Linked DNA regions of Caenorhabditis elegans. The protein of the gene in region 2 interacts with the protein of the main gene of each other region in a biochemical or structural test. Each region holds a gene or a part of one and is shown on either strand. Other genes may lie near its edges.

Region 1 (3,924 bases), on a different chromosome or scaffold from region 2:
CTTGGCAAGGCATTTCAGAAAAGCAGAGAGCTTCATCTGACGTTCCGCTAGATCTCCTCTTCCAGTGTATTCGTTACGGAAATGAGCAGTTGCACAGTCAACAATCACAACAGCATAACGACTCTCGGACATCATTGCTCCTATGGCACGAAAAAGTTTATTTTTTTATTTTTTGAAATTTAGATTTACCTGCTCGAATAATCAAAGCCATCAAATGTTCTGAGTTGTATGCACGTGCAACAGCGATATTCTCGAGTACATGAGCACTGTCCATATTGTATCTGCAAGAAATTACTTCGATATTCAAAAAAATGCTACAAGATCCATAATAAGGTAAATTCTCAAATGCCAAAATTCAAGCCATGTGGCGTAAACCAGTAATTGTACAAAATGAGCCATTGCGACTTGTTCTCCAAACGTTTTTATTTCAAACTTAGTGATAGAATATAGAGAAATATTTACTTTATCTGAAAAAAAAAACTTATATTTGTTGAAACAATAAGGAAAAGGCTAAAAAATTGCCTGCAAGTTGAAATTCGCCAAAAAAAGACCCGGAACATCTCTGAAAGTTCATTTACGGCAATTTCCAACTTGCAGACCATTTTTGGCCTTTTCAATTGTTCAAGCAAAAATAACAGCTATTTTCAGACTGAGAAAATATGTTACTGATTTCTCGAAATAAATTTTAATTTTTTTTTAAATTTTCAAGTCGGGAGATCAAATTATGACAAATTCAGGATTTTTAAGAATAATTCTCAATCACAAACCTCTGAGCGATAGCAATAATTCGTTCGGGTCGAAAAGTGGCATTGGTATCAATATACATACATTTTCCCTCACCACCTCCCATATCAATCGGCAATTGACACAAGACTGCCAGACTGTGGCAAAGCTGAGTTTTTCCTGTTCTATATTCTCCGTAAACCTGAAATAAATGTTTTATTGAGTACTGTTGTCAGTTTATCCGTGATAAACTCACCTCAGTGATACTGCCTGTTTCGATACCGCCACCCAACAGTCTGTCAAGTGAAGCAGATCCAGTTCTGATCTGCACCAGCTGGCTTCGCTTCACATGAACCTCGGCTCCCGTCGTGAATCCCATCTGCACGAATTTCATGGCTTCTTTCTGAAATTAAATCATTGAAATATGAGGCCGATGTCTACATGTTCACAGCTGGTCGATTTGCCGTCAAAACTGACCTTGCAGCTGATCGTTTCATTCTTTTTCGGAGCTAACCTCGAAAAATGTATCAACTTTTCTGATACTTTCAATTCAATTAATTGGATTTTGAAAAATAAAGCCACAGAATTTTTAGTTTTTTTCTTTAATTCTCGAATAAGCTGATTTTTTGATATGCTCACCATTATCTTTTCAGCTTTCTGATCACTAATTCCTTTGACATTTCGGAGTTCGCGTCTTGTAGTAAATGCCAGCGATTCGTATGTATAGTATCCAGCTTCTTTTAGTTTTGAAATATCGCCAGAACTGATTCCTGAAGACTCAAGTTTATCGATAACTGTGAAGTTTTCATCTTGCTCCATCGCATTATCCTCGATTGCTGCATTGAGCAAAGCTTGATCAGCTGCACGCTGCTCTTGATCCGATTTCTTTTGACGACTTGCTTGAGCTGACATTTTTGACTCCTGAGATAATTTTAATTAATTATTTTTAAGTTAAAACATACAATTGGAAGGAAAAGATTTATTGAATGCAAATTCAAATTATATAGCCATTTATGTGTACATAGTGAACGTTTCGCAATCCCTAAAATCGGCATTTTTAACAGTGGAGCTTTTTTTTTCAAAAATTATGCTACACATTTACCTAAACTTATTTTTAAAATGTTACCTTCATATCCCCAAGATTGTCCCATAATCAATAGCAAAAGCTTTCTCTAGAGCAACAAAAATTGAGAAAAACATGGCCTAGAGACACGTGCCAAGTCCTTCCTCGAGCCCCCGTTCGCTTGACGAAAACAAGAACTTTCATGTTTTTCACAAGTTAGAACTGCTTTTGCTGCTCTACTATTTTTGTCGTCAACTACTGATTTATAACAGGATTAAGTCCACATATTTCTAGGCGTCAAGTTGAACGAACATATTTTCGAATTTAAGAATCACAATTTATGATTTATAGGTTTTTATTAAGGGTTTTCTTAGATAGATTTTCGTTTTAGAATAGAAAACATGGAAATTTAAATGCAAGTAAAACTGGCAGTAAATACAGAATTCTCAATTTTCAAAGTAGCGCCATTTGAAATTTTTTTTTCCGCTTTTTCGATGGCGCGCACTTGCTGTACTCTTGTTCAACACCTCGCCCTCCCGTCTCGTCCACTGCCGCTCGCGTGTGTGAAAGGCACCGATAGGAACGGGCCAGGGAAAAGGAAAAAGTGTAGAAAAAGACGATGCGCAGACATACAGCAAGGAGGGTCAGTGGACGCAATGGGGAAAAGAGAAGGAAGAGGACACCCAAATGTCTACTATGTACATTGTGTCCGAACCATTTTAAAACCAAAACTGGACATTAACCTTATCTTTTGCCCTTTTGAGCTTAATTTTTATATCACTTTTCTGCCTTAAAGCATTATTTTTTAAAGTACTATTCGTTTTTCAATCACTCGAACTATTAAATCTTTAAAACATTTTTTCTTGCAAGATTCTATGATTTTTGAATACTATTACTTATTAATTTATTAATACTTAGCTTAAATTTATATAATAATTTTTTATCTTGAAAATTGTTTTTCGTTGATTGAAAATTATATTTCAAATTTAGAATTGTTCGCAATTAAAAACGGGTAAAGCATGAAATATATTTCAGAAATCGAACAAAAATCAGGCTTTTTATTTTCCGAATATCAATTTCAAGCGTTAACCGAAGCGTTGTTATTTAATGACAAAAAATTTTGTTCATTTTAGGTTTTCATTCAAGAAAAGGAAGCAAAATTTAGCATAGCTGAAGACTTTTAATTAGTTTAACTCAAAAGCTACGAGAATAATCAAAAATTTAATAAAAAACCGCGCAAATCATTAGAGGATAATTAAGTTTTAAAACTAAAATGACAAAAAATGACAAAAGAAACAATGAGAAATCAAAACATGTTTCCTCCGTAAATCGACATTGAGTACTGTAGCGATTGGTCTCGCAGCGATGTTAATTTTCTTCTGTACTCCTCTCGGATAAATTTTATTATTATTGAACATGCGTATTAAATCGTTCATTGAACGGAAAATGGAGAGAATCGCAAGAAAAAAAATTATGATGAAAGTGCAAATAATTTAGAAAGGCTATGACACAGGTGATTCGCCGTTATAAAATACTTATGGCCACCAGTATTTTAGATGCAATTTGCAAATCGCTAATCTCGCTGCGGGACCACCAACATTCTAGCAATATATTGCTAATTGCGACTTTTAGTGCAAAATATTTGCTTCATCATATTGCTGATGCCTCAACTACATTCCATAAATATTTAAAAAACCGCGAAACACATGTGTATCTACTGATAAACTACATAAAGAAGTGAAATTTGTTAATAAAATCTTTGCATGAGAATTGTAACTAACTAGGGTAATTGATTTCATTTGGGCTTAAAATTAAACTCAACACATGATGAGTGAACAATTGGGATCGAAGTTTAGATCTAGAGGTTTTCCATCTATAAGTGAGCCGGTTACTAGTGCGATCAGAAGTTGTGAATTTGAAAAAATGTTTTTGATTAATATTAATTTCTCCACCAATTAGTTTCCTTTCAAACTTTTTGTCTTTTCTTCTAATGATCCAATTCCGTATTTTAGCCTACTTTCTGAAAAGTTCAGAAAATCTTTTTGAACTCCTTCTATTTCCTGTATTATGTTTCTAAATTTTTTTGGATTTTTTTTTGAATTACTGGAATGGAGATGTTTTAATAGGTCATTTACATG
Region 2 (3,924 bases):
CATTCGATTTTTCGATTTCAACCATAACAGGGCGGAACACATAGTTTTGTCTGAAAAAATGCAACGGAATTTAAAAAATTATAAATTGAAAGTTAAAACGCCGCAAAAATCTCACCGTTCCTGGGGGTCTTTGAATCGGAACCAATTGTCAAATCCTTCATATCCTAACAAATCGAGTAATTTCTTCATATTTTTTGTAGTCACATTGATAAACATTTGACCGGAGAAGTCCATAACTCGCACCTGAAGTTTTTTTGTAACGATACTTCCCAAAAACTAAAATTCAAAAAATTATCTAAATTCAGCTAAAATCTCAAACTTTGTCAACTTGACAATGTCACAACTCGCAGAAGTGAGTTCCGACCGCCGCACCACTGACAAGTCGGAAAAATTTGAGATTTTAGCTGAAAATAGGCTATTTATCCAAAACATTAAAAATGTTCTATATTAGGAAATAGGCAATATAAATATAAAGAACATACTCTAGAATACATCGACAATTCAGATTTTCCTTGGGAATCCTTACAAAACTCGCATTGATTCGCTGCTTCTGGGAGAGAGTGTTTGCATTTCGAACATCTGAAACCAATATTATTATATTAATTATCAAGGAATCAGTATGTACCCTGCATAAAAATCCAAATTTAAATCGAGTAAGTTAACTTGGACAACTGTTTTTTTGATTTTCGTGTCTGACAATTCGTGGATAACTGAAATAATAATTTTTTTAGGTGAAAACTCGAAATGGCTCACATCTGGGTTTGATGCAAAACGGCTTCTTGGCAATTGAATGGCGTCGGATACCGGATTTCGCACCATTTTCCTTATTTTTCAGAACTCTATCAATATAGATTTCTGTAACATCGCCTGAGCTTGCTGAAAGTTTACGAAAAATTAAATCAATAGCTACAATCGATTGAGCATTACATTTTTTACAGACTTCCGCGTCGACATGAATTCTGTCGCCAAATTTAATATCAGAGCCACGATTGTAGCTACAAGTGGCCAGGATTAGAGGAGTTGAGCTGGATTCTTGAAGAATAATTCGGAATTTATCCTTTTCGTAGATTCGAGAAACACGCAAAACATCGGCGTGGATTTCTGAAAAAAGACTCCGGATTACGAGAATTACGGAATAAAGAACAGTTTTCAAAAAGGAGAGCCAATTCTAGAGCTTAACTAACCTTTAAACTCCTTCTTCTTTTCTTTTTTCGAATGTTTTTTACTTTTTTTAGAAGAACTGCTGGTTGATTTTTTTGCTGGTGGAGCTTCGAAATCTTCGAAACCGCCGCTAGCCGGCCGTTTTGTAGTTGTTGAGCTCGTTCTGAAAAGAAAAACTTCGAGCTAGATAGCACCTTTGAAACTTACCCTTCTCTTCGAAACGGTGAAACGAAAGCGCTCGACCCATTGTTTTTGCGCACGAGAGGGGAAGAAAATCCGCCTTTAGACGAGGATTTGCTCTTGAGATCACTCTGAATTTGAAATTTTTTATATTAGAAGAATAAATGTGTTGTCGAAGTTAATTTCAGAATATGTTCCATTATTTCCTTTTAATTCCAAAGCTTACATTCAACATCTTCTTTGATTTATCAATCGATTCCTGCTTCACATCAATTCGGATACCAGCCGCTGTTGAAAAAACCGGTTCCATTGATATCGGTACGCCTTTCGGCTCATCAAAGCTGTCTGGTTCAGATATTGTGTCGAAACTGTCTTTTCTGAAAACAAAGAATTGCAATTCATGTATGTTTCTCAATTTTCTTGCTATAACAATAAAATAAATCTTGACTAACACTTTTTTAGATGAGTCACCCATCGGTCGATGTCACAATATTCTGGTAAAGTCTGAAAATTTCATTTTGAGTTCAGAAATTTGAGATTTCAATTGAAAAAAAGGGAAAAAATTAAATTTTTGTTTTTCAAATAAACTGAGAATTTTACTGTCCGGTGGAGCGTAATTGCATTATTTCCTTTTTGAGAAAAAAATTGCGACACTAATTTATTTATTTCCGCCTTTTCTTCTAATTTCGTAATGCAAAATCAATTATCTCACAAATTATAACACGAACCGTTTCTGCCGTTTAAAACTGTGGAAATAATTATATTTATGTGCGGTTTTCATTCATAAAACGAGGGGAAACCCCCAATTGACCTTTCCTCTCTGAATAAAAAAGCAAAGCAAATATTAAATCCGTGTATTTTTTGCGTCATTCTTTTCTATCTCTTACTCTTTTTGCCCCCGCAGTAATAAAGATCTAGAGAAATAGAGAAGAAAAGGAGAAAGTGAGGAAAAAAAATACATGCTCGCAGAGTTCGAAGCTTTGGTCTAACTAGTTGAGATTTCTTCCCAGCTTGATGTTTTTCCGGGTCGCTTTTTCCTTTCATCTCTTAAATTTTCATTTTCCATTTCTTGGGTATTTTCTTTTGATAATCAAATTAAAGAAAAAGCACTCGATTTTAGGTGCAATCATTCAAAAAATTCTTTTGATAAAATAATCACCTTATCACCATTTTAATGTCATTCCCGCCATGAAAACCTGATTTTACAGTCTAAACCTTTCCTATTTTCTCATGATGACGCTCTGATTTTTTTTAATTTCTCGACATAAATTTAATTTCAGCCAAACTTCAAAATGGCTCCATTGCCACGTGTGAAATGTTATTTCGATGTGGTCTGTCCCAATTCATGGATCACTATTCAGGTACATTTGTAATCTAGAAAAACTTGTTTTGATACAATTTAAACTGAAAGATTTTGTTTTTCCGGGTTTTCATTTCCATTGCCCTTCAGAATCATGTGCTTCACGTGAAATAGAAATGGGTCGCATGTGAAAAATAGATAGATCTCAGCCCTTTTTGAATGTTTTATTATTCCCGAAAATAAAAAAAGATGGAAAGAAAATCAAATATAATTTTCAGGCTCTTACATCACACAATTCTCTATTCGAGCGTATAGATTTTGAGCCAGTTTGTGATTTTAAAATTGGAATTCTTCATAATGCTCAAATCTGGAACCAACGTCGACAAGTACACAATTCGAGACTTTGGAAAACGAAAATAGGTAAGTAGTTTGAAAATATATAGAAATCCAAATAATCGCGGGAAAGTTATTTCAGAAGTTCCAGAGCAAGCAGAAAGCGAAGAAACACTCTCAGAAATGGGAATTCTACAAAAAATCGACGAGCGTGGCAAGAAACTTATTGGTTGTGAGCGTGTCGTGCCACCTGTAGATTGGAAAAACGTTAGATTGATTTCGAATATTTATTCTCAAACAAATATTTTTAGACCTACAAAACAGCGGTAGCACGTGGATCGGTCATCCCTCAGCTGTTCCTCACTTCAATCCGTGAACAATACCCAGACCTCTATGAAAAAGCAATTCATCACTTGGGAAAACGGCTCTGGGAGCAGCGACTTCCAGTTCACTACGGGTGTCACATGTCTACAGTATGCCGTGAACTTGGAATCTCATTCAAAATCGCAGAAGACATTGTGGCTCGTCTCTCATCTCCAGAAAATCGATCGATACTACACAAAAATTGCAAAGAAGCCGTGGATTTCAAAGTAAATTTTAATTTTCTAGAAATAAAATCAAGAATTTCCTTTTTCAGCTTACTGAAGCACCCGGATTAATCTTGTTAACTGATGAAGGAGACACTATAAAAGTTGATAAAATCAATGATATTTTTGATGATAATATCATGATTTCCAAGCTCTCAAGTGTATCATCAAGCCAACCAGTCGAGCAAAAAATGTCTGCAAATCGACTTTAAATTTAGTTTTTTTGTTTCCAATTCTTCCTTCCTCACCCACCTTTTTCTTCATATTTACCCACTTTTATTGCACTTTACTCGCATCAGTTTAGTCTTTTTTTTTCCCAAATCCTGTACCCTCTACGGTGATTATAATCAATTCGATCAAATT

Evidence for each region.
Region 1: the proteins of brc-2 (region 2) and rad-51 form a complex in vitro, tested with the Caenorhabditis elegans proteins (one study listed by BioGRID).

The regions. Positions count from the first base shown.
Region 1 is NC_003282.8:10,282,371-10,286,294, forward strand, and holds the start of rad-51 (DNA repair protein RAD51 homolog), read right to left. Parts: upstream 1,875-3,924; coding exon 1,850-1,874; intron 1,766-1,849; coding exon 1,686-1,765; intron 1,645-1,685; coding exon 1,363-1,644; intron 1,127-1,362; coding exon 980-1,126; intron 926-979; coding exon 768-925; intron 282-767; coding exon 190-281; intron 141-189; coding exon 1-140.
Region 2 is NC_003281.10:6,901,262-6,905,185, forward strand, and holds the start of brc-2 (DNA repair protein brc-2), read right to left. Parts: upstream 1,846-3,924; 5' UTR 1,817-1,845; coding exon 1,794-1,816; intron 1,719-1,793; coding exon 1,568-1,718; intron 1,473-1,567; coding exon 1,369-1,472; intron 1,325-1,368; coding exon 1,185-1,324; intron 1,102-1,184; coding exon 928-1,101; intron 877-927; coding exon 754-876; intron 711-753; coding exon 626-710; intron 580-625; coding exon 483-579; intron 244-482; coding exon 116-243; intron 51-115; coding exon 1-50. Other genes in the region: T07E3.3 (DSBA-like thioredoxin domain-containing protein), read left to right, coding at 2,634-2,702, 2,920-3,061, 3,117-3,241, 3,286-3,564, 3,612-3,773. UniProt on the Caenorhabditis elegans protein: Required for the homologous recombination repair of DNA double strand breaks, thereby playing a role in chromosome integrity. Acts by targeting rad-51 to sites of DNA damage and stabilizing rad-51-DNA filaments by blocking ATP hydrolysis catalyzed by rad-51.